3 linked regions of the Saccharomyces cerevisiae S288C genome follow. Changing the gene in region 3 together with the main gene of any one other region gives a genetic interaction. Each region holds a gene or a part of one and is shown on either strand. Other genes may lie near its edges.

What was found.
Region 1: mutations in PYP1 (region 3) and WRS1 together harm fitness more than expected from each alone (negative genetic interaction), as found in Saccharomyces cerevisiae (one large-scale study listed by BioGRID).
Region 2: mutations in PYP1 (region 3) and AFI1 together harm fitness more than expected from each alone (negative genetic interaction), as found in Saccharomyces cerevisiae (one large-scale study listed by BioGRID).

Annotation. Positions count from the first base shown.
Region 1 is NC_001147.6:131,093-139,328, reverse strand, and holds WRS1 (tryptophan--tRNA ligase WRS1), read left to right. Parts: upstream 1-1,503; coding exon 1,504-2,802; downstream 2,803-8,236. Other genes in the region: HMI1 (ATP-dependent 3'-5' DNA helicase), read left to right, coding at 1-102; COQ3 (hexaprenyldihydroxybenzoate methyltransferase), read left to right, coding at 284-1,222; YOL097W-A (uncharacterized protein), read right to left, coding at 2,924-3,109; SDD3 (Sdd3p), read left to right, coding at 3,491-6,604; serine/threonine protein kinase PKH2, read right to left, coding at 6,847-8,236.
Region 2 is NC_001147.6:562,908-572,805, reverse strand, and holds AFI1 (Afi1p), read left to right. Parts: upstream 1-3,247; coding exon 3,248-5,929; downstream 5,930-9,898. Other genes in the region: YOR131C (putative haloacid dehalogenase-like hydrolase), read left to right, coding at 1-624; ORT1 (Ort1p), read left to right, coding at 1,999-2,877; phosphoribosylaminoimidazole carboxylase ADE2, read left to right, coding at 6,615-8,330; GTPase-activating protein RGA1, read right to left, coding at 8,613-9,898. UniProt on the Saccharomyces cerevisiae protein: Involved in actin patch polarization. Required for maintaining a proper budding pattern in yeast cells. Required for proper polarized localization of the ADP-ribosylation factor ARF3 at the plasma membrane.
Region 3 is NC_001146.8:604,647-615,648, forward strand, and holds PYP1 (putative phosphoric monoester hydrolase), read left to right. Parts: upstream 1-8,988; coding exon 8,989-9,714; downstream 9,715-11,002. Other genes in the region: PBI2 (Pbi2p), read left to right, coding at 738-965; HEF3 (translation elongation factor EF-3), read left to right, coding at 1,673-4,807; SPO1 (putative carboxylic ester hydrolase), read left to right, coding at 5,040-5,144, 5,229-7,019; YNL011C (uncharacterized protein), read right to left, coding at 7,190-8,524; isocitrate dehydrogenase (NADP(+)) IDP3, read left to right, coding at 10,175-11,002. UniProt on the Saccharomyces cerevisiae protein: Hydrolyzes sugar alcohol (polyol) phosphates. Dephosphorylates a variety of substrates, including: sn-glycerol 1-phosphate (D-glycerol 3-phosphate), D-ribitol 5-phosphate, D-sorbitol 6-phosphate (D-glucitol 6-phosphate), and D-erythrose 4-phosphate.

The sequences.
Region 1 (8,236 bases), on a different chromosome or scaffold from region 3:
GGTTATAATGTGCAGCGATACAATCAGTTACGTAAAAATTTTGGATTTTATAGAGCATATTCTTCACTAAGAGGTTGTAAGAGCGTTTTCAGACGTATATAGAATAGTTTTTTACTTACCTTTCATAATGTATTATCACCCTTTTACATAATACAAGTTTTAGAAGCAGATATTTTTATTTTTTTCATTTCCATTGTTCAAAAAGAGGGATGGTAAAGTATGCTAAAAGGCATACAAAACAATTAAAGGGAAACAGGTACAGCGAAGTCTTATGGGATTCATAATGTTGTTAAGATCTAGATTTTTGAAGGTTATTCATGTGAGGAAACAATTGAGCGCCTGTTCAAGATTTGCAATTCAAACACAAACGAGATGTAAGAGCACAGATGCTTCTGAAGATGAAGTGAAGCATTTCCAGGAGCTAGCCCCTACTTGGTGGGATACAGACGGATCACAAAGAATTCTACACAAAATGAATCTAACTAGGTTAGATTTTGTGCAGAGGACTGTGAGGAACCAGGTTAAAATTCAGAATCCTGAAATATTTGTCCCTGGATTTAATTACAAGGAGTTTCTACCAGAATACGTCTGCGACAATATTCAGCGGGAAATGCAGGAAAGCATAGAGACTAATCTAGATAAGAGGCCAGAAGTGAGCGTCTTGGATGTTGGATGCGGTGGTGGCATTTTGAGTGAATCGCTCGCGAGACTAAAATGGGTGAAGAATGTTCAAGGGATCGATCTGACTCGCGATTGTATCATGGTAGCAAAAGAGCATGCCAAGAAAGACCCCATGCTGGAGGGAAAGATAAATTATGAGTGCAAGGCTCTGGAGGATGTTACTGGACAATTTGATATTATCACCTGTATGGAAATGCTAGAGCACGTGGATATGCCTAGTGAAATTTTAAGGCATTGTTGGTCGAGGTTAAATCCCGAAAAAGGTATACTCTTTTTAAGTACTATAAACAGAGATCTCATCTCATGGTTTACTACAATTTTTATGGGTGAAAACGTCTTGAAGATCGTCCCAAAGGGTACTCATCATTTGAGCAAATACATAAACTCAAAGGAAATCCTTGCCTGGTTCAATGACAACTACAGTGGCCAATTTCGCTTGTTGGATCTCAAGGGGACCATGTACCTCCCATATCAAGGGTGGGTTGAGCACGATTGTTCCGATGTCGGTAATTATTTTATGGCTATTCAGAGACTGAATTGAAATCAAACGAAAAGTAGGTATCTGACTGTAAATATCTTCTTATATAAATATATATATATACACTTTTTCACGTACAGCATGAGTTCAAAAAGCAATGGCATGGTCCTGCGTTTATTAAATGATGTATCCTTTTCAAGACGCCAGTAATTTATTCAATACAGTATCTCTTTTCCGCTTATAATGGAAAAGAGAGAAAAAAGATCAAAACGTTGAAAAATTTTTTTTAGTCATTGAGGTATCAGAAATAAAACTCAATAACAAAAAATAGTCGTAGAACAACGATGAGCAACGACGAAACTGTAGAGAAAGTCACCCAACAAGTGTCGGAACTAAAAAGCACAGATGTTAAAGAGCAAGTAGTTACACCTTGGGATGTGGAAGGTGGGGTTGATGAACAAGGTAGAGCCCAAAATATTGATTACGACAAATTGATCAAACAATTCGGTACTAAGCCGGTCAACGAAGAAACCCTGAAGAGATTCAAGCAAGTGACGGGTCGTGAACCACATCATTTTTTGCGTAAGGGATTGTTTTTCAGTGAGCGTGACTTCACTAAAATATTAGACCTTTACGAACAAGGCAAACCATTTTTCCTATACACTGGTAGAGGTCCTTCGAGCGATTCTATGCACTTGGGTCATATGATCCCTTTTGTCTTCACCAAATGGTTACAGGAAGTGTTTGACGTACCATTAGTCATAGAGTTGACAGATGACGAAAAATTTTTATTCAAACACAAGTTGACCATCAATGACGTTAAGAATTTTGCCCGTGAAAATGCCAAGGATATCATTGCTGTTGGCTTTGATCCAAAGAACACCTTTATCTTTTCTGATTTGCAATACATGGGTGGTGCATTTTACGAAACTGTAGTAAGAGTTTCCAGACAAATTACAGGATCCACTGCAAAGGCTGTTTTCGGGTTTAATGACTCCGACTGTATTGGTAAGTTCCATTTTGCCTCCATTCAAATTGCTACCGCATTCCCAAGCTCATTTCCTAATGTGTTAGGCTTGCCTGATAAGACACCATGTTTGATTCCATGTGCAATTGACCAAGATCCATATTTCAGAGTTTGTAGGGATGTCGCGGATAAATTGAAGTACTCCAAACCTGCTTTGCTTCATTCCAGATTCTTTCCAGCTTTGCAAGGTTCCACGACCAAAATGTCAGCCTCTGATGATACCACTGCCATTTTCATGACCGATACACCAAAGCAAATTCAAAAGAAAATTAACAAGTACGCATTCAGCGGTGGTCAAGTGTCCGCCGACCTACATAGAGAATTAGGTGGTAATCCCGATGTCGATGTTGCATACCAATACTTGTCATTTTTCAAGGATGACGATGTTTTCTTGAAGGAATGCTATGACAAATATAAGTCCGGTGAATTACTATCAGGTGAAATGAAGAAACTGTGTATCGAGACTCTGCAAGAATTCGTTAAGGCGTTCCAGGAACGCAGAGCTCAGGTGGACGAAGAGACCTTGGACAAATTCATGGTCCCACATAAGTTGGTTTGGGGCGAAAAGGAAAGACTTGTCGCACCTAAGCCAAAAACTAAGCAAGAAAAGAAGTAAGTAGTCACGCTTATTCTGACGCTATTATATACAATGATATAGAATCCGAAATTGTAGTTTAACACTAAAAAAATAATGCAATAGAACAATAGTGTTGCGATGTCTCCTGACCTCACTATTTCTATAGATTGGTATGAAAAATTTTTTTTTCAAATATATGGGAAAAATTTTTCACGGCATATAAAAGACTACCATCTTTCTGCATCAGTGTGCCAGACCCATTCTCACACCAAGAAGCGAGGAAGCTAACAGGCCAGTACTTGCAGGTTAGGTTTTCGTGCTCAGATGAGCAGATCATGGACTGCATTGTGCTGTTGTTGCACAGTAAATTTTGTATACCATACTTTATGATGATATTCTTTACGAACTTTTAGACGTTAGACTTCTGAAGGAGATTAGACCCTCCTATGGAAGAGAAACTCGTTAAACTTATCTGAGTAGGTATGTGTATATGCGTCTCTTGTATTATACAAATGTTCTTATTTCTTGTCCTGCATTTTTCCGAGTATTGGTAAATTCATGTAAATTTTTCATCCCATAGATCGTAATTTTGAAGTAGTGGCAAAAGATTTTAACAGAGCGTAAGATATAGTGAGAGAAACTACTCGCTGAAAAGTTGAAAGTGACCCAAAAAACGGCACGAAGACCAATTATACGCACTTTCAACACAGTTCGTCGAATCTTCACAATGGGGTTCAAGAAGCTCGTATCATTCCAACCGGATTATGTCCCACAATACCATATAACTAAATATATCTCGGAACGAACTAAACTGCAACTGGTACATATAAACCACAAAACCTCCCCATTGGTTCACGGTTACTTTGCTGTTCCTACAGAATGTCTTAATGATTCAGGTGCTCCGCATACCTTGGAGCATTTGATCTTCATGGGTTCTAAATCTTACCCATACAAAGGTTTATTAGACACAGCTGGTAATCTGTCTTTGTCTAACACCAATGCTTGGACTGATACCGACCAAACTGTTTATACATTAAGCAGTGCTGGCTGGAAGGGATTCTCAAAGTTGCTACCTGCTTATCTAGATCACATCCTACATCCAACTTTAACAGACGAGGCTTGTTTAACTGAGGTTTATCACATCGACCCGGAAAATTTGGGTGATAAAGGTGTGGTATTTAGTGAAATGGAAGCCATTGAAACTCAGGGCTGGTACATTTCAGGGTTAGAAAAGCAGCGATTAATGTTTCCTGAAGGAAGTGGCTATCGGTCAGAAACTGGTGGGCTAACGAAAAATTTAAGAACCTTAACCAACGACGAAATCAGACAATTTCACAAATCTCTGTATTCTTCTGATAATCTTTGTGTCATTGTTTGTGGTAACGTACCAACAGATGAACTGTTAACCGTCATGGAAGAATGGGATAACAAATTGCCGGAGATTCCATCGAATATACCAAAGAAAAGACCATTTTTGGACAACAAGCTTTCGCACATACCGCAATCTAGAGATAAAGTTACGGAATCTACTGTAGAATTTCCTGAACTTGATGAAAGTCAGGGTGAATTACTCTTTTCTTGGATTGGTGTTCCCTACTCAGATTTTCGTAATGACCTAGCGGTTGATGTGCTATTAGATTACTTTACTGACTCTGCATTGGCAGTGTTTACAAGAGAACTGGTTGAAATTGACGATCCCATGGCAAATTCCACTGATTGTTGCACTGATTATTTCATGAGAACCATAATTGATCTTCGTATCCAAGGTGTCCCAACAGAAAAAATAGCAGCAACAAAGACCAAGGTACTGGAGATTTTGAAAACCCATACCATTGATTTATCAAGAGTTAGACAGGTAGTTGAAAATACTAAATGGGAATATTTGCTGAACTATGAAAAAAATGGCGAGAGTCGTTTTTCTAGTGCTGTGATTACCGACTATATTTATGGTAATGAAGATGGTTCTTCATTAGTGTCTTCTCTCAAGGATTTAAGTGATTTTGATGCTTTATTACAATGGTCCCAAAAGGACTGGCAATCTTTGCTGAACAGAATATTCGTAGACAACAAACCTATCATAGTTACCGCTAAACCAAGCGCTTTGATGTATGAACAACTAGAGAAAGAAAAATCGGATTTGATCAAACAAAGAGAAGCTGAATTTGATGATGAAAAGAAACTGGTTTTATTGAAAAGATTGAACAATGCAAAAAATATTAATGATAGGCCAATTCCGAAATCTCTACTACAGAAATTTGAGATTGATAATCCTTCAAAGAGTGTTGAATTTGTCAACACGAAAAGCATTGCAACTGTCGATTCGTATAAATACAATAATGTTAGTGATCCGCTGACCAAAAAAATTTTAGAAACGAGGCCAGACAATTTTCCTCTTTTCATTCACTTAAATCATTTCCCGTCTCAATTTATAGAGCTGCATTTTTTGGTCAACTCCGCATCTATTAAGGATACCTCGCTTTTACCATATTTTAATATGTTTGACGAGCTATTTTCCATGCCAATGAAAATCCTTGATGAGGAGAGTAATGTAGAAACTATGCTCTCGTTTGAGGAAGTTGTCGCCAAGTTAAAATCAGAAACTATTGACGCACAGATCAACCAAGGTTTGAAGGGTTCTTGTCCTGACCTTATTAATTTTAAAATTCAATGTAGAGCTGGGGGTTACTCTAACTCTGTTCAATGGATCAAGCACTGCCTATTTGACATGGTTTTTGATGAAAATCGTGTTCGTATTCTGCTGGAGAATTATTTGAATTCTATTGTAGAATGGAAAAGAAATGGTAATGTTATGTTAAGTTCTTTAACTAACAGAAATCTCTATTCGGCAAGATCGCTGAAAAAATCCACCGATCCATTATTTGTTGAAGCAAAATTACAAGAGATTTTTGCAGAAATTGAGAATGGCAACTTTGAGAAAGAAATTTTGCCAAGAATAGAAACAATGAGAAAGCAACTGAGAGCAAATTTCAACAAGTTTCATATTTTGGTTCTTGGTGACATCTCAAAGATCGATGACGTTTATGAACCATGGAATCCCTTAATTAAGTGCTTGAACATTGCACATCCAGTTGAGAAGTTAAAAATTCCACCAGTTCCAAGAGCCCTAGATACCATTTCATCGATTTGCAGAACACCTGGTGAAAAGGCCTTTATAATAACTACTCCCGCCTCAGAATCTGCTTATATGAATCTAATAACGTCTATCCCATTTAACTTGGACTACCATGATCCCGAATACGCTATTGTCTCATTGGCTTCCGAATATCTAGAATGTGTTGAAGGTCCATTTTGGAAGGGAATCCGTGGTGCCGGATTGGCCTATGGTGCCAGCATGTTAAAATTATGTGAGATAAATTCTTGGGGATTCAATATTTACCGCGGCGCTGATATTATTAAATGTTATGAAGTTGGAAAACAGATTGTTCAAGATTATGCATCAGGTGCCTTGGAATTTGATGAGCAGTTAATCCAAGGTGCCATCAGTAGTATTATTAACAGGCTGGCTACTATCGAATGCGGATACTTTGAAACAGCCCTGTCCAAATATGTTGATGAATTCTGTTTGCAAAGGGGGAACAACTTCAATGAATTGTATTTGGAAAGGTTGCAGAATGTTACCAAAACAGATCTGAAAAATGCCATGCAGAAATATTTTGTCAACATGTTTGATTCCAATAAAAGCGTTGCCTTTGTGAGCTGTCATCCAGCTAAATTGGAATCAGTTCAAGAATTCTTTGAAACTCAAGGTTTCACTGTCGAAATAGAAGAGCTAGAAGATGACGATGACGAAATTGATAGTGAAGAAGACGAAAATGCGTGAGTACATGACCTCCATTTCAGCTTCACTTTCAACACAGAAACAGTGCGTATTATCTGCATTCAATAAATAGCAAAAGGAGCATTGTCTCATTCTTTTCGAATTCTGGGATTCTGCCTTACGGCGCTCTTTCATTTGATTGATCGAGAATTATTATTATATTTATATGAGTACTTGAAATTCCTCATATATTTATTTTTAGAGTATTTAAGTAGCTTGATGAAAACATTAGATAAAATTACTAATTACGACCTCTTCGATTTTGCAGATGAGTTTTTGAAATTTGTTCCTGTGTTTAGACCTAATCCCACGGTAACTTGTCTTTTTGGCAATCCGTTAACTAATTTACTGGTTAACGGTACTGGAGCAGCGTGTTTTTTTGAATTTTGTTCCTTGGCATTGATAAAGGTTTCAAAAATTCTGCTTGATCTGTTGCTCTTAGCGCTATTAATCGATTCAGAAAACGAATTGTGCTTTGAAATTGATGGAGATTGGCTATGCGTCCTGGGTTTTGGCGAAGGAGACTTGGAAGTTGGAAGATCTTTAGGTATGGCTCTTCCGGATGATGATGTTCTTCTTTCAATTACCTTTTGGTTTCTTTGCAACAGTTCTTTCTCTATTTTATTTGTATTCGAATTAAGAATTTTTTTGAGAACAGTAAACAATTTGCTCGTGGTTTTTTTATCAGTGCTCAAAAGAAATGACTTGTAAGGTGTCTGAATCACAACTATATGATTAGTTCCCATTTCCAAGGGAATGATTAGTTCTTTTATTTTGGTACCCTGTTGACGCAAATTTATGTCATATTCTAGTTCATACTTTAAATTTGTAACTGGATTTGGCTGCCTCCTCTTGGCAAATACTAGAAACCTTCCAAATGATGTCATTACAATGGTTCGTTTATAGTACTTGGTTTTTTCATCAGAGGAAGAGAGCGTTTCAGCTGCTGAGGTAGGGTGAAATAATTTTTTAATCTTGCCAGAAAAAACAGAGCTTCCTTTATTGTTAGATTCGGATTTATCATCGTCTTTCATTGGTGAGCTGTTTTGATTGCATTTGTACCCTTCTCCGCTTCTGTTAGTAAGCAACTCCGATAAGTCACCTCCTTCAATTCGATAATCATCTTCCAAGAGCTGCAAATCGATAATATTTTTCGAATAGTACGTATCTTCTGTTTTGGAATAAGCAGTCATAGTTGGATCATTTCGAAAACCTGTAACCTCTCCCCCACTCCTAGCTACTTGGGATAAAAAAGTATGTCTAGGCTTACCAAACAGTTGAGGATCTAACAATGAACCATTTAGTTTAAGCATTTTCTTCTCTAAGATATCGTAATTTGTGGTAACAAAATCCAGTTTTTCCGTCCTTAGTACATGTTCGTTGATGTTTTTCAGGTAAAAGGACCATTGAATATCTTGCTTGTTCATCAAGGGAGAATCTGTGCTATTTTTAACATTTTGCTTACTAATACAAGGCTTAGGTGCGGCAATTGCGGTATCAGAATAATCCTGCTGTTTTGTCGTATAGGGAGGTGTCATTTGATATGTATCATATGGTGTCATAGGGGGCGACATTGGAGGTGTGTATGGAGGCATTGGGACTTTTGACGATAAAACTGATGCTGACAAAGGTGGA
Region 2 (9,898 bases), on a different chromosome or scaffold from region 3:
CACATCAAAGCGGTTGTATTTGATATGGATGGCACATTATGCCTACCCCAGCCTTGGATGTTTCCAGCAATGAGAAACGCCATAGGATTGGAGGACAAATCGATTGATATCCTTCATTTCATTGATACATTGCCCACAGAAAAAGAAAAAAAAGAAGCGCATGATAGAATAGAATTAGTTGAGGCAAAAGCCATGAAGGAGATGCAACCGCAGCCTGGTCTGGTTGACATAATGAGGTATTTGACGAAAAATGGTATTAGCAAGAACATATGTACTAGAAATGTCGGAGCCCCGGTAGAGACTTTTGTTAAAAGATTTATTCCATCCGAGCTTTCGAGGTTTGACTATATTGTGACAAGGGAGTTTAGGCCTACAAAACCGCAACCAGACCCATTATTACACATCGCCTCGAAGCTAAATATAAGGCCCTTGGAAATGATCATGGTAGGAGATTCATTTGACGACATGAAATCCGGTAGATCTGCTGGATGTTTCACGGTATTACTCAAGAATCATGTGAATGGACATTTACTGCTCGAACATAAAGAACTAGTAGACGTTTCAGTAGAGGATCTTTCCGAAATAATTGAATTGATTCAAAATATGAATAAAGAAAGTTTCTAAAAAAAAAAAAACTTTACTTAGATATGTACATATGATTGAAATACCATTTTATTCTTAGATGTTTTTTAGAGCTAATATAGTAGCTATGGCGGAATTACCTTGATTTTTTCGGCATCACAAAGTTCGAGAACACATCAAATCAGCAAAAAAATCTCCGCGACGGGGAATTGAACCCCGATCTGGCACGCGACAAGCGCCCATTCTGACCATTAAACTATCACGGATTTTAATTGTTGGGTTAACGGTGTTTTTATTAATACTTGTTTCATATGATTTGAAAAAATAAAAAAATGTTGCAGCAAGTGATCATTAATGTCAATATAAATAATGATGGTAGCAAGATGAGTGTTTACGTTAATGTACATTTCATATACTGAGAAATAGGTGAATTTTCGGGATAATCGTTAGGATTTCATTATTGTTAAGGGCTATAATTTAGGTATATCGAATATACGAGAAGTTCTGCACGATGATATAGGGATCCATAAAGGGAACCAATATTTCTACGTACCTGTTACTTCTCCCTCCATTTTATATTTTTCATCATTTTATGACGTTATCAAATCCTTGCATTTCAGTTGCCATTATACTTTACCATTGTTTTTCGATTTTATGTCATCTTCTTACACCGTATGACAATATACCAGTAGTATGAATATCAGTCGATGAGTGAGTTGATTTTTATTCGAACATACACGTTTTAACGTGAATGTACTAAACTGCTAACTGAGCATTTCGGACAGTGCTGAAAATAAGTTAAAGATCTACGCTTTGGTAGTTATGTATACGAGTCATACAATTCGTCACATTAAATGTATAGTATCAAAGACAGTATTATCCACACTTAATCTTCATTAATACTTATCAACAAAAATGAAGCACTCATCTGACTATATTTATATAATATTGCCGACCAAAATCCTTGTGTTTAATTCCAAGTGATTTAGCACCAATCCTATTCCATCCATGCAGGTGCTGTTGCTGCTGGATCCGTGTTTTTGACCAGTCTTAATGAAGCACAACAGCAGCCTACCCTTTTTGTGGACCATATTAATGGATACAATGAGTACTTAGCACGAAGAAAGCGTAGCATTGTAGTTTCATCGTTGCAACTTAGTCCTAGTACGTTCCAGTTCTGCATCGTGACTCACCTTGAGCTCGAAAAATGTGACATATACGTTTTCCGCTGTGGCCGCTGTGGCCGCAGCGTCAAGAATCGCCAATGATAAGTTCTCTGCTCCTGGCGTCGATAGATTCAGAAAAGTGTGAAATTATCGAAGCACGGGTATAGTTAATTGTTAAAGCGTAGATGCTTTGTCGTAGAAACTTTTCTTTAACCTATAGGGAACTCAAATTCTGGAAGGTCAACGTATAATGGAGGACAGTAAAAAGAAAGGATTAATAGAAGGCGCTATACTCGATATAATAAACGGTTCCATTGCAGGCGCCTGTGGTAAGGTGATCGAGTTTCCTTTCGATACTGTGAAAGTCAGGTTGCAAACACAAGCATCCAACGTGTTCCCAACAACATGGTCTTGTATAAAATTTACTTACCAAAATGAAGGAATAGCACGAGGGTTTTTTCAAGGCATTGCTTCACCTTTAGTTGGAGCATGTCTGGAGAACGCGACATTATTTGTGTCTTATAACCAATGTTCTAAATTTTTAGAAAAACATACAAACGTTTCCCCGTTGGGGCAAATCCTGATCTCTGGTGGAGTAGCGGGTTCATGTGCTAGTTTAGTTTTGACACCCGTGGAGCTGGTGAAGTGTAAGTTGCAGGTTGCGAACTTACAAGTTGCATCAGCTAAAACGAAACATACAAAGGTGTTGCCTACAATAAAAGCAATTATAACTGAGAGAGGATTGGCAGGATTGTGGCAAGGGCAATCGGGCACTTTTATTCGAGAAAGCTTCGGTGGTGTTGCCTGGTTTGCAACCTACGAAATAGTTAAGAAGTCGTTGAAAGATAGGCACTCCCTTGATGACCCAAAAAGAGATGAAAGTAAGATATGGGAACTACTTATTAGTGGAGGGAGCGCTGGATTGGCATTCAACGCCAGTATTTTTCCTGCGGATACTGTGAAATCAGTAATGCAAACTGAACATATAAGCCTCACCAATGCGGTGAAGAAGATATTTGGCAAATTTGGACTAAAGGGTTTTTATCGAGGACTGGGTATAACCCTTTTTAGGGCAGTACCAGCAAACGCTGCAGTTTTTTACATCTTTGAGACTCTTTCTGCACTTTAAATACAATAAATCGTGTAATAAGCAAGTATGTAACATTGATAGACAGTCTGTAATACCATTTACTGATCAAGAATGTCGCACAATCTCAACAGCCAGGCTTTGTGTTAGTATTTTGTGTTTTTTACAACAACCTCTCGACTATTGTATACCAGTTTCTTGCATAGATGCTACTATTCTCTGACAGTAAATTATCTAGTCAGGACTTCGGATTTAACTAAATGCAAAAAAAAAAATGATTCGAATGTAAACAAAAAAAACTGTCTAGGTAGCAATGGTTCTTCTATAAAAGTGCAAGCTCTATAAAATCAAGATCAAGCATAGTACCGCCCACTGTTAGAGTCTTTGGTACGCAAACATTTTTGGCTACCGGATGTTGCGAAGAGAACTAAATAACTCTATCAGCAACAGGTCGATAGAAAATGAATCCTTTCCTTTTGAAAGGCCGAATGTCAGCTATATAATATCCGCAGAATTTGATAATAAATTAGGTCCTATTTTGAAGCACCAATACCCGAAAGATATTCCAGGTTTCAATCAGTTCTCACATGAGCAACGCAACGGCAATACGTCGGTGTCTATGAACTTGGCAAGTTTAATGATACCGAGTAGCATAGAGAGAAATCCCGGCAAACAAGATATTACAGTGTTTACCCTTTATTACAATAAGTTTACTCAAAACTATCAACTCTTTCCTGTGCCAAAAGACCCTCGTTTCAGTTTCAATCTGCATCATCGTGAACAGTCAGATGGTAGTGTTACCAATAGCATATATTACGATGCCGAAAATCATCAAGATGCAAAAAATAATAGATACACTATTGTCTTGGAAGATGATGAGCTCGAATGCCAGGAAGTTCAGAATAATCAGAAAGCCATCGACAACGAACCTTTATTTTTCATAAATGTCGCCAACACAGTATTAGACACCACGAACGATAGAGGGGCAGTAATCAAGTCGATTGCCATCGGAACACCATTAAAAACCTTCTTTGCATTCAAAAATATTATTGTATTAGTGTTAGACTTGTATATGAAAGCTCCCACTCAAGCTGCTGCTACAGACATACTGCTTGATTGCTTTAATATGCTAAACAGTATTGACCTTACATTGATTAATGACATACATTCCAAAAGTAGTATACAAGAAGTGCTACACTCTATCCATGACGAATCTATCATTACCAAAGTATTTTTAGACCCGGATTCCACTTTAAAGAAACTCTTTTGCATCAATGGATTTGACACTAAGGACAAGTATGGTAACATTGTGACTTTTCATGACCAACTCATTCAATATCATTTTACAAGATTTCAGCCAAAGACGCTCCCGCCATTTTTGTTAAAAATCCCATTGCAATTTAATATGATTAGAAGAGAGCCTATTTATATTGAAAATGATTATAATGAACTAGTTTTAAAATTTTTGGATAAATTTGTCCCTTACCTTCTTAAAGCCGGACAAAAAGTTAATGCATGGAAGTTAGTCATCAATTCAACTAAACTGAGTAAAGAAGACCTATGCGCTTTTATTTTGTCATTAGCCAACATAACGGCAACTTATGCTAGCGATCCACAATCATACTTCAAAGGAAATGCTGCGTTGATTTTTCCCTATATGGACATTTCTCTTGTTGACGGTTTGCGGGCGTATGTAGCATCGAATAGTGATTTTGTCGGATGCTTTGCAATTATCGGAACTGCCAATCCAATTTTCCGATACCAGTTAGATATCTGGGATTATTACTACGATGTGGATGAGGGAGTGTTTTATGAAAATAATAGTCCAGAAAAAGAAAAGCCAGATACAGTGGCAGAAGTGAAGATTGGGCCTAACCCTTTGAGAAAGATATTCAATAGGCCTCATTTCTCAACCAACGCAGTCAACGAAAGTCAGGTAAACTTGGGCCAGAAGCTCTTTTCTCTTCTTATCGACGAATATCATGATAGTGATACTATCATGAGCGTTTTGAGAAGGCTGAATGTTCTTCAGTTGGAAAACCTTCTGGACGCTTTGAAAAGACGAGAAATTCCACCTAATATAGCACTAAAAGATGAATATATCATGTTTTATAAAGATTTTTTCATTTTCCCGGAGTTCTTTGATTATTTTACACTGCATAGTATTGAACTATTGTCTAACTTGGATAATTGTTTATTTAGCTTAGGAAACACATGCCAGTTATTTTCCACAGAGCAAATATATTCCCAATTAAGCCAAATATTGGACATTGTTAAAGAGCTGTTTCGCATGGTATCGGTAAGCAGGACAAACATTGAGAAGTTTTTAAACGCTTGTTTGAACTATTCTCCGTTCAAAATATTACCCACAGCTCAGTTACACGGTGATAATATTTCTAGGTGGAGTTTTGAAAGCGAAGTGCGTCAGGGTTTCGATAATTTTAACAGCTATATGGGCATCGAAAAAGATCCCCACGGTGTTATAGTATCAGCAATAGATCTTTTTACTCAAATTTACAGTTTTGATATCTTGGCGTTTTTCCTCACATTTATTACAAAAGAAAGTGGGCAGGATTTGCCCTTCACAAAATCTCTGTCCAGGAGAAGAACGTATTTGACCAGAATTGCTCAATCTTCTTCATTGAGACAGTTTTTACAACTGAGTACACGCCCTAATATAAGGATTCTGGGAGGTAATGGGCAGGGTACTGGAAATTCCAATTATCCCGAATTTACAAACGCATCCTCAGTCATCTCACCCAAGCTAAGGGCTTCTCCTCTACTAGAAAGAAGGGCGTCAAAAATCTGCTATGCTATTACGAAATTACTCTATAGGTTAGAATGTCATCCCATAGGTATGGCCCTTTTAAAGAAGTATCTCCACAATCAATTGCGAGAAGCCTATCTAGAATCAAAACGACACTTTATTTCCAAAAAGGGAGATTCGACCAACACTTCCTCTACCATTGCATCATCATCTTTCGCTGGCGCATCTGTTCCTCTATCTTCAAACGAATCAGGAATGCTAAACGGCTTGAAGCAAATTAACGAACAACAAGAATCTACATTAGAAACCACTCAAAAGGAAGACTAGTAACGCCGTATCGTGATTAACGTATTACATAAGTTACAGGATTCATGCTTATGGGTTAGCTATTTCGCCCAATGTGTCCATCTGACATTACTATTTTGCATTTTAATTTAATTAGAACTTGACTAGCGCACTACCAGTATATCATCTCATTTCCGTAAATACCAAATGTATTATATATTGAAAGCTTTTGACCAGGTTATTATAAAAGAAACTTCATGCTCGAAAAAGATCATTTCGAAAAGTTGCCTAGTTTCATGAAATTTTAAAGCAGTTTATATAAATTTTACCTTTTGATGCGGAATTGACTTTTTCTTGAATAATACATAACTTTTCTTAAAAGAATCAAAGACAGATAAAATTTAAGAGATATTAAATATTAGTGAGAAGCCGAGAATTTTGTAACACCAACATAACACTGACATCTTTAACAACTTTTAATTATGATACATTTCTTACGTCATGATTGATTATTACAGCTATGCTGACAAATGACTCTTGTTGCATGGCTACGAACCGGGTAATACTAAGTGATTGACTCTTGCTGACCTTTTATTAAGAACTAAATGGACAATATTATGGAGCATTTCATGTATAAATTGGTGCGTAAAATCGTTGGATCTCTCTTCTAAGTACATCCTACTATAACAATCAAGAAAAACAAGAAAATCGGACAAAACAATCAAGTATGGATTCTAGAACAGTTGGTATATTAGGAGGGGGACAATTGGGACGTATGATTGTTGAGGCAGCAAACAGGCTCAACATTAAGACGGTAATACTAGATGCTGAAAATTCTCCTGCCAAACAAATAAGCAACTCCAATGACCACGTTAATGGCTCCTTTTCCAATCCTCTTGATATCGAAAAACTAGCTGAAAAATGTGATGTGCTAACGATTGAGATTGAGCATGTTGATGTTCCTACACTAAAGAATCTTCAAGTAAAACATCCCAAATTAAAAATTTACCCTTCTCCAGAAACAATCAGATTGATACAAGACAAATATATTCAAAAAGAGCATTTAATCAAAAATGGTATAGCAGTTACCCAAAGTGTTCCTGTGGAACAAGCCAGTGAGACGTCCCTATTGAATGTTGGAAGAGATTTGGGTTTTCCATTCGTCTTGAAGTCGAGGACTTTGGCATACGATGGAAGAGGTAACTTCGTTGTAAAGAATAAGGAAATGATTCCGGAAGCTTTGGAAGTACTGAAGGATCGTCCTTTGTACGCCGAAAAATGGGCACCATTTACTAAAGAATTAGCAGTCATGATTGTGAGATCTGTTAACGGTTTAGTGTTTTCTTACCCAATTGTAGAGACTATCCACAAGGACAATATTTGTGACTTATGTTATGCGCCTGCTAGAGTTCCGGACTCCGTTCAACTTAAGGCGAAGTTGTTGGCAGAAAATGCAATCAAATCTTTTCCCGGTTGTGGTATATTTGGTGTGGAAATGTTCTATTTAGAAACAGGGGAATTGCTTATTAACGAAATTGCCCCAAGGCCTCACAACTCTGGACATTATACCATTGATGCTTGCGTCACTTCTCAATTTGAAGCTCATTTGAGATCAATATTGGATTTGCCAATGCCAAAGAATTTCACATCTTTCTCCACCATTACAACGAACGCCATTATGCTAAATGTTCTTGGAGACAAACATACAAAAGATAAAGAGCTAGAAACTTGCGAAAGAGCATTGGCGACTCCAGGTTCCTCAGTGTACTTATATGGAAAAGAGTCTAGACCTAACAGAAAAGTAGGTCACATAAATATTATTGCCTCCAGTATGGCGGAATGTGAACAAAGGCTGAACTACATTACAGGTAGAACTGATATTCCAATCAAAATCTCTGTCGCTCAAAAGTTGGACTTGGAAGCAATGGTCAAACCATTGGTTGGAATCATCATGGGATCAGACTCTGACTTGCCGGTAATGTCTGCCGCATGTGCGGTTTTAAAAGATTTTGGCGTTCCATTTGAAGTGACAATAGTCTCTGCTCATAGAACTCCACATAGGATGTCAGCATATGCTATTTCCGCAAGCAAGCGTGGAATTAAAACAATTATCGCTGGAGCTGGTGGGGCTGCTCACTTGCCAGGTATGGTGGCTGCAATGACACCACTTCCTGTCATCGGTGTGCCCGTAAAAGGTTCTTGTCTAGATGGAGTAGATTCTTTACATTCAATTGTGCAAATGCCTAGAGGTGTTCCAGTAGCTACCGTCGCTATTAATAATAGTACGAACGCTGCGCTGTTGGCTGTCAGACTGCTTGGCGCTTATGATTCAAGTTATACAACGAAAATGGAACAGTTTTTATTAAAGCAAGAAGAAGAAGTTCTTGTCAAAGCACAAAAGTTAGAAACTGTCGGTTACGAAGCTTATCTAGAAAACAAGTAATATATAAGTTTATTGATATACTTGTACAGCAAATAATTATAAAATGATATACCTATTTTTTAGGCTTTGTTATGATTACATCAAATGTGGACTTCATACATAGAAATCAACGCTTACAGGTGTCCTTTTTTAAGAATTTCATACATAAGATCACTTATTATACATACATACATATCCAGTAACAAGAAGCAAGGAATAATTACCTGCTTAAGTCTGCGATTAAAAAAATAACGTTTCGATACAGTTCATATAAGGCGGCTCAATGCAGAACCGAGGATAGCGCTACGTCAGGATATCTTTGTAGTTCCCAAATATAAATGCGACAATATAGTTTCTTTCTTTCATATCAATAATATCCTTTTCTCCACTGAAATCACGAATCAAACCTGGAGCAAAAACTAAAGCCAAATTATAAAGCGTCATTCGATTCCAGTGACTGTACCGTGTAACCTTTTCTATATGTTCACTCAGTACTCTTAACACCCTATAATGTTCCCTTGGAAGGTCTTCCAATATGTTTTTTAAAGCGCTCTTGCTCGACATATAAGTGTCCGAATTCTTTGCTTCTAAGGACAACTTTCCTCCAACAAATGGCAAGTTTTCCATCATTTTTTTAGATTTAACTAACCTCATCAACGGCTCGTATATTTGAAAGGTAAAGATAGGGTTGGGGAGCTTTCTTAAGTATCGCTTCAACACACCAGTAACAACGTTGAGATCTTGTTCCGTTAAAATATTTGGCGTTTCGGTATTTTGTTGTACTTTCCATGCAGAAAATTGCTTTTCTATTTCTTCTATGACTAGCTGGGAACCTGATTTTCTATAAATGCCCTCCGATCTCATATTTTCTTCGTCTGATTCAATAAAATCTATGCAGACAGATAGTATCATCGGTATTTCATTGTTTTCATAATTGCACCTAGCAACGAGACTTGAACCATACAAATTGCTTCCATCCAAATATTCTTCTCCATCTTTACTTTGTCCCATATTTGCATCGTTCTCGATAGGTACTAATCTAACGTCACTAAATTCATTAGGATTTTGTAGCACAGGTGGTGAAATTTCTAAACGGCCGGAATTACTACCAGATGAGGGAGCAGAAAGCAAAACTGGGGCACTTTTAACGATGGAATTTGTATTATTTGTACTGACACCTTGTATAGATTGCTCGGTCTGTGGCTTTGCAGATGAAAAAAACTTCCAAAATTTTGGTTTAACAGAACTTCGCGCTACAGAACTTGCAGTTGCAACATGTTTCACGGGTGGCGACTCACCTAAGCTGATTTCATTTATCATCGGTGGATTATTTGATAATTCATTGGAGTCAAGATATAGTTTATTTTTCTCGCTATTATAGGATTCAATATGTCGGCGTAGAGCCTCTTTCATAGACTTCATTTCAGTGATCTCTTTCATTAATTCTTCCCTTTGAGATTCAAGTTCTTTCAAATTTATTTTTAATTGCTTCAGATAGTGCTCTGCCGTGACAATTTCTTTATCAAGCGAGGGATCGTTTCTAGATTCGCTATTTTCGTAAAGTGTTTCCTTCTGTTCCTCAAAATTGT
Region 3 (11,002 bases):
CTATTTTTTTTAAACATCCATCCCACTGTATTTTGTCGAGTCCATATATATAATTTTTGTTTTTATTTTTTACAACTTTTGTTAAGTATATAAAAATGCTACCTAGCGTTATGGAGACATGTCAGTCTTGAGTCCAGGCACATAAAGGCAACAGCCACTACCACTGCGCACCCGTGACGCTGCTCCAACGTTCTCATTAAGTACGGAACTGTGTTTCGAACAAAAGAATGGCTGTTAAGACCAAAAAAAAGGCAGCTTAACAGGAACCCGGCTGGTTCCACAGGACTTTTCTTTCTTTAGGGAAAGGTTGTGAAAATGACAACCAAAAAGTCGCGACGCCAAATATCAAAAACCTAGATGATATTACTTCGTCTGCCAAACACCTCCTTTCCCTCTATCCAGCCCTTATTTTTTTTCCAAGAGCTTCATATGCACGCCCGAATCATTTCGAATCGCGTACGTGGCAGGTTGTGGCTGGCATCTTTCCCAAAAGGAAACGGACCAATACCACGCATCCCCGAGCTCTTGGTCTTTCTTTATCTTGCATAGCCCAAAAAATAAAATGGGGCGGGAAAAAGGGGGCATATCAGAGCATCGGGAACTTCTTTCAATGCAATATATATGGCACATATAAAAAATTCTGGCTTCATTATGTTAGGTGCAGAGATTCCGTTTAGACCAATTGAACGGTAACCAGAAGGTAATCTTAAATATACAAACAAAAAACAAGGTCCATAATGACAAAGAATTTCATCGTCACTTTGAAAAAGAACACTCCAGATGTGGAAGCTAAGAAGTTCTTGGATTCAGTTCATCACGCAGGTGGCTCTATTGTACACGAATTCGACATCATTAAAGGGTACACCATCAAGGTACCAGATGTTCTCCACTTGAACAAGTTGAAGGAAAAGCACAATGATGTCATCGAGAACGTCGAAGAAGACAAAGAAGTTCATACAAATTGATTCCTGAGATAAACGCAAACACTTTTTTACTCGGAAATTTTCTCTCCCCGATTGTAAATTTATTTCTCGTCTACTATAATAATTCACCAAAAAACAGCAGAGCACGTCCTATATATATATATATATATATATATATATATACATATATATATACGAATATATTTATGACAGTCTAAATCGTTGCTCCTGTTCAATTTTAACGCTCTTTTATAACTGCTGTGGCGCCATTTCTTTGGCATCTAAGATGTGTCTCGGGACTTTCTTTTTCTGGTCATCTTGCTTTCCTTGCCTTGTCATTAACAGAGCTAAACTGTGTTGAGGAAGTGGTCTTTTAAATTTTCAAGGTCGCGGCCCGTGCATTGCGCGGCTGGATGTCTTTTAGGGGAGCGATGCGCTTGCACAAAAGAATAGCCTTGATTTCCGCTATTAATGGGTATATTCTTCTAACAATTTGAGTTTTTTCTCCACTTGTTTCTTTCTTCTTTCTCTTTTCCATTCACATTTTGCTTTACTTTTCTGGATAATATATATGTGCATATATATATATCCATTTAAATATATATATATATATATCTTTTGTCCTCCTCTCCAGTTACTTTTGCGCCAGAAATTCCTTCTTCTTTTCAATCTAATAGAGAAGGGTAGATAGTGTGGTGCAAAAAAAGAGCCTTTTAAACCAAAAATAAATAAAAAAAAGGAATCACAAAATGTCAGATTCACAACAATCAATCACCGTTCTAGAAGAGCTTTTCCGAAAGTTGGAAACTGCTACTTCAGAAACAAGAGAGGGTATTTCTTCGGAGCTTTCCTCATTTTTAAACGGGAACATCATCGAGCATGACGTTCCCGAAGTTTTTTTTGATGAATTTCAAAAAGCTATCCAGAGTAAACAAAAGGCGCTCAACACGCTGGGTGCGGTGGCTTACATAGCAAATGAAACTAATCTATCACCTTCTGTTGAACCGTACATAGTTGCGACGGTCCCTTCTGTATGCAGTAAAGCTGGTAGTAAAGATAATGATGTTCAACTTGCGGCAACAAAGGCCCTCAAAGCCATCGCTAGTGCTGTTAACCCGGTTGCCGTTAAAGCACTCTTACCTCATTTGATTCATTCGCTGGAAACTAGCAACAAGTGGAAAGAGAAGGTTGCTGTTCTCGAAGTAATCTCTGTATTGGTAGATGCCGCTAAAGAACAGATTGCCTTAAGAATGCCGGAACTAATTCCCGTTCTTTCGGAATCCATGTGGGACACTAAGAAAGGAGTTAAGGAGGCGGCAACGACAACCATCACAAAGGCAACTGAAACTGTTGATAATAAGGATATTGAGAGATTTATTCCAAAATTAATCGAATGTATTGCAAATCCAAATGAGGTGCCTGAAACCGTTCATCTCTTGGGTGCAACTACTTTTGTAGCCGAAGTAACTCCAGCGACTTTGTCTATTATGGTTCCTTTATTGAGCAGAGGTTTAGCCGAGAGAGAAACCTCTATAAAACGTAAAGCTGCGGTTATTATCGATAATATGTGTAAATTGGTTGAAGACCCGCAAGTTGTTGCTCCATTCTTAGGTAAACTACTACCAGGGCTAAAGAACAATTTTGCTACTATTGCTGATCCTGAAGCGCGTGAAGTTACATTAAAAGCTTTAAAAACCCTGAGACGTGTGGGTAATGTCGGGGAAGATGATGTGTTACCAGAAATATCGCATGCTGGTGATGTTTCCACAACACTGGGCGTCATCAAGGAATTACTGGAACCTGAAAAAGTGGCCCCAAGGTTCACCATTGTGGTTGAGTACATAGCCGCGATTGCCGCAAATCTAATTGATGAAAGGATCATTGATCAGCAAACGTGGTTTACACATGTTACACCTTATATGACTATATTTTTACATGAGAAAACTGCAAAGGAAATACTAGACGATTTCAGGAAAAGGGCAGTAGATAATATTCCAGTTGGACCGAATTTCCAAGACGAAGAGGATGAGGGTGAAGATTTGTGTAATTGTGAATTTTCCTTGGCATATGGTGCCAAAATATTACTAAACAAGACTCAATTGAGGTTGAAGCGAGGTAGGAGATATGGTCTATGTGGTCCTAATGGTGCCGGAAAATCCACTCTAATGCGATCCATTGCTAATGGCCAAGTTGACGGGTTCCCCACTCAGGATGAATGTCGCACTGTTTATGTGGAACACGATATCGATAATACACATTCGGACATGTCCGTTTTAGATTTTGTATATTCCGGCAATGTAGGAACTAAGGATGTTATTACCTCGAAATTAAAGGAGTTTGGGTTCAGCGATGAAATGATAGAAATGCCAATTGCATCCCTATCTGGAGGTTGGAAAATGAAATTAGCTTTGGCGAGGGCTGTTCTGAAGGACGCTGACATTCTACTATTGGATGAACCAACAAATCATCTAGACACTGTTAATGTGGAGTGGCTGGTAAATTATTTGAATACTTGCGGAATTACATCGGTGATTGTCTCTCATGATTCTGGTTTTCTGGATAAGGTTTGTCAATACATCATACATTATGAGGGTCTTAAATTAAGAAAGTACAAGGGTAATTTATCAGAATTTGTTCAAAAATGTCCTACGGCACAATCATACTATGAATTAGGTGCCTCTGACCTTGAATTTCAATTCCCAACTCCTGGTTATCTAGAAGGTGTCAAAACGAAGCAAAAGGCAATTGTTAAAGTAAGTAATATGACTTTTCAATATCCAGGGACAACTAAACCACAAGTCTCAGATGTTACTTTCCAGTGTTCTCTATCCTCAAGGATTGCAGTTATCGGACCTAATGGGGCTGGTAAGTCCACTTTAATTAATGTTCTTACTGGTGAACTGTTACCAACCAGCGGTGAAGTATATACACACGAGAATTGTCGTATAGCGTATATTAAGCAGCACGCTTTTGCACACATTGAATCGCACTTAGACAAAACTCCATCCGAATACATTCAATGGAGGTTCCAAACTGGTGAGGATAGGGAAACAATGGATAGAGCAAATAGGCAAATAAATGAAAATGACGCAGAGGCCATGAATAAAATATTTAAAATTGAAGGGACCCCAAGAAGGGTTGCAGGAATCCATTCAAGAAGGAAATTTAAAAACACGTATGAGTACGAATGTTCGTTTTTGTTAGGTGAGAACATTGGTATGAAATCTGAAAGATGGGTTCCAATGATGTCTGTCGACAATGCTTGGCTACCAAGGGGCGAATTGATTGAATCCCATTCTAAAATGGTTGCTGAAATTGATATGAAGGAAGCTTTGGCTTCTGGTCAATTCAGGGCTTTAACAAGAAAAGAGATTGAATTACATTGCGCCATGTTGGGGTTGGATTCAGAATTAGTCTCACATTCAAGAATTAGAGGTTTATCGGGTGGGCAAAAGGTTAAATTGGTACTCGCTGCCTGCACGTGGCAAAGACCCCATTTGATTGTTTTAGATGAACCTACGAATTACTTGGACAGAGATTCATTGGGTGCTCTTTCAAAAGCATTAAAAGCTTTTGAAGGTGGTGTCATTATTATTACGCATTCGGCAGAATTTACTAAGAATCTGACTGACGAAGTTTGGGCGGTTAAGGATGGGAAAATGACACCCTCTGGCCATAATTGGGTTGCAGGACAAGGTGCTGGCCCAAGAATTGAGAAAAAAGAAGAAGAGGGTGATAAATTTGATGCTATGGGTAACAAGATTAATAGTGGGAAGAAAAAAAGCAAACTCTCTTCTGCAGAATTGAGAAAGAAAAAGAAGGAGAGAATGAAGAAGAAAAAAGAGATGGGTGATGAATACGTTTCTTCTGATGAAGATTTTTAATTTGAAGTCGAGTACATCTCTTTCAGTGAGTAACTTATATATTTTTGAAGTTAACATCCTTATTCTTTTTTTATATTTTTATTTTTTTTATGTTTATTTTCTATTACTGATTTTCACAAAGAAAGGTAAAAAAAAACATACTTCAGCGGCTATACAACCATATTTAAGTAAATGCACTCAGAGAAAGTATACAAGTAAAAAACCTAAGTAAAGACATAAATATCCCAAAATAATGCAAAAACTCCTCTTTGTCTTTTCTGTGTTATTGACAGTAGTACTAGCAACAGCACCATTTCAGGTACAATGTCCTAGCTCTCCACTTATTAGGGAGGCCAAAGTAAGTTAAACTCTTTGCCACTTTAACAAATATGGGCCAAAACTAACCGAATATACCAAAACTTCGTATTCCTTTGTTTATTAGCATGAACTCTGTCCAGAAGAAACCTTGTATCTGAAGAAAAAAAAAATTAAAACGAAGAATAAACTGATTCAGTTTTTAAAATCCTTGACAGAGGCAAAGTTTAGTTCGAAGTTTTATAAACGCGTGTTGAAAGATCCTCCAAAAATTGGGATTGCTATATCTGGCGGCGGGTACAGATCCATGTTAGTAGGTACCGGATTTATTTCCCAAATGAACGATTATGGCCTTTTTGAATATTCGGATTATATTGCTGGATTATCAGGCGGAAGTTGGATCTTGATGGATTTGGTAGTTCAAAATTTTGAAGTAAAATCCCTGCTACAAGAGTGGGACCTTGAAGAGGATCTTTTATTAGGCATACCGGAATTCGATATTTCCGAAGAAGAAATTGTTACCAATGCAAAAAAGGAGTATAATGATAATGATTTGAAGATGAAGAAGCGTCAGGGGGGTTCTCTGATTACAAGCTCTTCAAATTTTTATGAACAAATAGAGGAGATCATGAATTCCATAGAAGAAATCCCAGAAGACTATATGATAACGAAGAGAAACTTGAATCCATTAGCAAGACTAAAAAAAATATTCTTTCCTAACAACACTTTCACTGGAACTGATGCGAAGATTGAAACCTTTAAAAAAGTGCTAGACTTTTACAAAAGTTTGCATTTGAAAATTAAGCCTAAAAAAATGGAGGGTTTCCAAATATCGTTCACCGATTATTGGGGTAAAGCAATCGTTCAAAGACTAAAAAAAAATTTCGATGACGATCCCAACCATTCCTTTTCGTTTTCGAAGCTTGTAAACTCGTCTAAAAAATTTAAGGAATGCAGTGTGCCGATCCCAATATTCGTTGCAAATTGCAAAAATGGACTTCTTTCAAACGTTATATTTGAATTTACGCCCTTTGAATTTGGATCTTGGGAAAATATCCTCAGACTTTTCGTCAAGTTGCCCTATTTGGGCTCAAAAATTGTTTCTGGAAAGGCCGAGAAGTGTATTAATAACTTTGATGATCTAGGTTTTATTACTGCGACGTCTTCTTCAATATTCAACAATGTGCTCATCTTCATCTGGAATTTGGCTTCTCAGTCCTCCAGAGAAGCAATGAAAGCTTTGAATATGGTTATGGGAATTTTTGGCCTAGGTAAAGAGGAAATATTTAGTATTTCGAAAGACTCCTCGAGATTAGAGACAGACTATGCCGTATATCAACCCAATCCCTTTTATCTTTATCCTGAAAAAGACAATGTCCTAACTAACAAAAATCATTTATACCTTGTAGACGGCGGAGAAGACGGCGAGAATATTCCACTCAGAACATTGGTGATTCCTGAAAGGGAACTAGATGTAATTTTTGTTCTGGATTCTAGTTCGGATATTGACAACTATCCAAACGGCTCCAAGTTAAAAAGGATATTCGAAAAATTAGATGAAGAGAACGTTCATTACCAATTTCCGAACAATGTAAAAACATTCACTCACCCCATTGTTATAGGATGCAATGCTACCAAAAGAACTGGACATGATTCATTTTTGCCAATTATAATTTATCATGCCAATGCGAATCATGGAAACGCATCTAATACGTCGACATTCAAAATAACTTACAATCAGTCTGAAGTTAGCAGTATGTTACCCACTGGAAGGGGAGTGTTTAGCAATGATTATGACCTTTATTATAAAAATTGCTTAGGCTGTATATTAACCAAAAGAACAATGGACAGGCTCCCAAGAAAAAAGAAATTTTCGCCATTTTGCTTACAATGCTTTAAAGACTACTGTTACTCATAAGAGAGTAGACTTTTTCTGTGAAATTTAATGAGTTTTTGTTCACCTTTTTTACTTTTCTTCTATGCCATATGGTTAAATAAAACATGGTTCAAACGCGATTCTTTTTTATTATCTATGTCTTTATTATGTAGTCTTCACTATAATAACCGTTAATGAGCGACATAGTTGCATCAGTTTTTAAGGCCAATTTGATTCAGAACCTTTTCAAGTTCTTCACTTTCCATCTTATCCGAAGACGCGATCTGGTGGCATCTAATACTATGCTTCTCGAATATCGTTTCATCAATTTCAATTTCACCATTTTTTAGGTAAACAATATCAGTAATAAAATCTTGCCATTCAAAGTCATCATTCTCTGAATGGACACCCTTAGATTGCCTATAGCCTGCTATTGCCCTACTCATAGAATCTATGATCATTTGAACGTAGTGTAAACCGTCTAAACCAAAAACCTCTCTATCATATTTATTATTTATGAGCAAAACTTTTTTCGTATTATTAGATTCCAAAATTACTTCAGCAAGATTACCAAGAATAAGGATTGGGAGTAAACTTGTCATTAAAGAACCGATAGAATAAACGACCATGTCAGCTTTTTTCACCTTGGAAATAGCTCTTGGATTTCCCATTGGTTTTATCTCTTCGCCATATGGGTTTATATACAATATCCTATGTACCGGAGCAGGTAGATTCTGTGATTCATCAAGCTTGTCAAAATGCAACTGGGAGTTTTTCAGTTCTGGAAGAATATAGATAGGATTGGCATACTCCTCTTCCGCTTCTTCTTCCTCATCGTCGAGGAGAATTTTCAAATGGTCGTCATAAGAGCCAAGTAAATGAATAAATTTAGCTGAATGTGCTATGCTATTATCTTTAGGAACAGATTTCGAGGGATGCGATATTTGTGATTGGCCAGTTATCATCTCACCATTCGTCAACAAAGCCGAGATATGATGTGTGTGATTGGTATTTATACATGGAATAACATGAACTAGAGGACTGCACCTTCCTATCCTCATCATTAGTTCAATAGATGCGTCTAGAGAACCTAAAAACAATCTAGCACCAGTTAAGAAAAAATTTCCAATGGATGCACTCTCAAACTGAAATGGATTCGAGTGTTTGATTTTTTTCAAGAGTTCTGCTTGCATATGGATAATAAAAGAACGACACATTTCCTTAACTTCTATCGAAATATTTTTCCATATGGGATGCGAACCTTCCACTATTTCATTCCATTCTTTCTTAGCTAATAACTTATCATTAGGTAGCCTATGGCCAAACAACTCGACAAGCTGTTCATCTTGAAGTAGTCTCACTATTCTAGATCTGATATCACCAATTGCTGGGCCACCAACTATTCGTAGAATTTCACTTGTGGACCCGCCATTATCTGATATTGGCAATATATACGTCAGCTCATGTCCTTTTAAGATAGAAATATTAGAAAAGCAAGGAGTCAATGAATTTGTGGCAGTCCCACCGGAGCACACAACGACGTTCATCTAGTAAACTATCTCACCACACTCTGCTATTTTGTCCCCTTATTACCTCGAGGGAACAAAAGATTCCGTTTCCTCTCTTTCATAGTCCGCCTAAATAGCTTAAGAAATAAACCCAAACATCACACATTAGCGTTCTTTAGGAAATACGAAACAGGTTAATACAACAGTAGTAACTTTCCACATAATATCTAAGCATTACACGCTGAAAAAAACTCTTTATTGGATATCAACAACCCAACACATTGTACGACATATTCTTTTATCGTTCTACTATGGTACCCTGTTCAAATCTCTTTTTCTAAAATGAGCGAAATTTTCGAAAATTATCGCATAATTTTTCATCATCTTAAATTAAAAAAATACAGTGTCCTCTATTGTTTATCTCAACAGAACGCACACATTCTTGAAACTTGCTCACATAACATAAGCTGGAGTGACATAGCATTTATATATATACAAGGGAAATGGTCAAAGCTGTTATTTTTACCGATTTCGACGGTACCGTTACTTTGGAAGATTCTAACGATTATCTGACCGATACTTTAGGTTTCGGTAAGGAAAAAAGATTAAAGGTCTTCGAAGGCGTGTTAGATGATACTAAGTCTTTTAGGCAAGGTTTCATGGAAATGCTGGAATCCATCCACACCCCTTTCCCTGAGTGTATCAAGATCTTAGAAAAGAAAATTCGATTGGATCCTGGTTTCAAGGATACATTCGAATGGGCTCAAGAAAATGATGTCCCTGTCATCGTTGTTTCCAGCGGAATGAAACCAATTATCAAGGTTTTATTGACCAGATTAGTTGGACAAGAGTCTATTCACAAAATTGACATTGTTTCCAATGAAGTGGAAATCGATGCACATGATCAATGGAAAATCATCTATAAGGATGAAAGTCCCTTCGGACATGACAAATCCAGAAGTATCGATGCTTATAAAAAGAAATTTGAATCTACCTTGAAAGCAGGTGAACAAAGACCCGTTTACTTTTACTGTGGTGACGGTGTTTCTGATCTAAGTGCTGCAAAAGAATGTGATTTGCTATTTGCCAAAAGAGGTAAAGATTTGGTCACTTATTGTAAAAAACAAAACGTCCCATTCCATGAATTCGATACCTTCAAAGACATCTTGGCTAGCATGAAACAAGTTCTGGCTGGTGAAAAGACAGTCGCTGAATTGATGGAAAATTAGTGCAAGACTCTTACGAAATATTAAAGTTTAATACCGTGTAACTGCCTCTTACATATGTATGCATATATACGTACGTACTATATTTTTCTTGTATATCTTTTTTATTGTCTGAGAGAAAGAACATCAAAAAATAAAGGAAGATCCTCCTCGGATTTAGCATGCTTAATGCCGAATCTTTAATACAAAACGAATGATATTTCAAGTATACTAATTAGAAATCAATCAAACATACCAAAAGGGACAGTAAAGAGAAAAGCAGGAGCTCTCTTTTAGGGGAAAAGTAAAATGTGATTAGTATTTCGTTGCGTGTACTAGTCAACTCTTCTTGTCATTCTTAAATTTACATTAATTACCCCAATTTTGCATCTTCGTATATAAGAGTGTTCCCCTTATAAGCTTTCTCCTGCACATACCTGCAGTAAACACAAGCAACACTTTAGAGATAGTTGTCCAAGTTAAAATGAGTAAAATTAAAGTTGTTCATCCCATCGTGGAAATGGACGGTGATGAGCAGACAAGAGTTATTTGGAAACTTATCAAAGAAAAATTGATATTGCCATATTTAGATGTGGATTTAAAATACTATGACCTTTCAATCCAAGAGCGTGATAGGACTAATGATCAAGTAACAAAGGATTCTTCTTATGCTACCCTAAAATATGGGGTTGCTGTCAAATGTGCCACTATAACACCCGATGAGGCAAGAATGAAAGAATTTAACCTTAAAGAAATGTGGAAATCTCCAAATGGAACAATCAGAAACATCCTAGGTGGAACTGTATTTAGAGAACCCATCATTATTCCAAAAATACCTCGTCTAGTCCCTCACTGGGAGAAACCTATAATTATAGGCCGTCATGCTTTTGGTGACCAATATAGGGCTACTGACATCAAGATTAAAAAAGCAGGCAAACTAAGGTTACAGTTTAGCTCAGATGACGGTAAAGAAAACATCGATTTAAAGGTTTATGAATTTCCTAAAAGTGGTGGGATCGCAATGGCAATGTTTAATACAAATGATTCCATTAAAGGGTTCGCAAAGGCATCCTTCGAATTAGCTCTCAAAAGAAAACTACCGTTATTCTTTACAACCAAAAACACTATTCTGAAAAATTATGATAATCAGTTCAAACAAATTTTCGATAATTTGTTCGATAAAGAATATAAGGAAAAGTTTCAGGCTTTAAAAATAACGTACGAGCATCGTTTGATTGATGATATGGTAGCACAGATGCTAAAATCAAAGGGCGGGTTTATAATCGCCATGAAGAATTATGATGGCGATGTC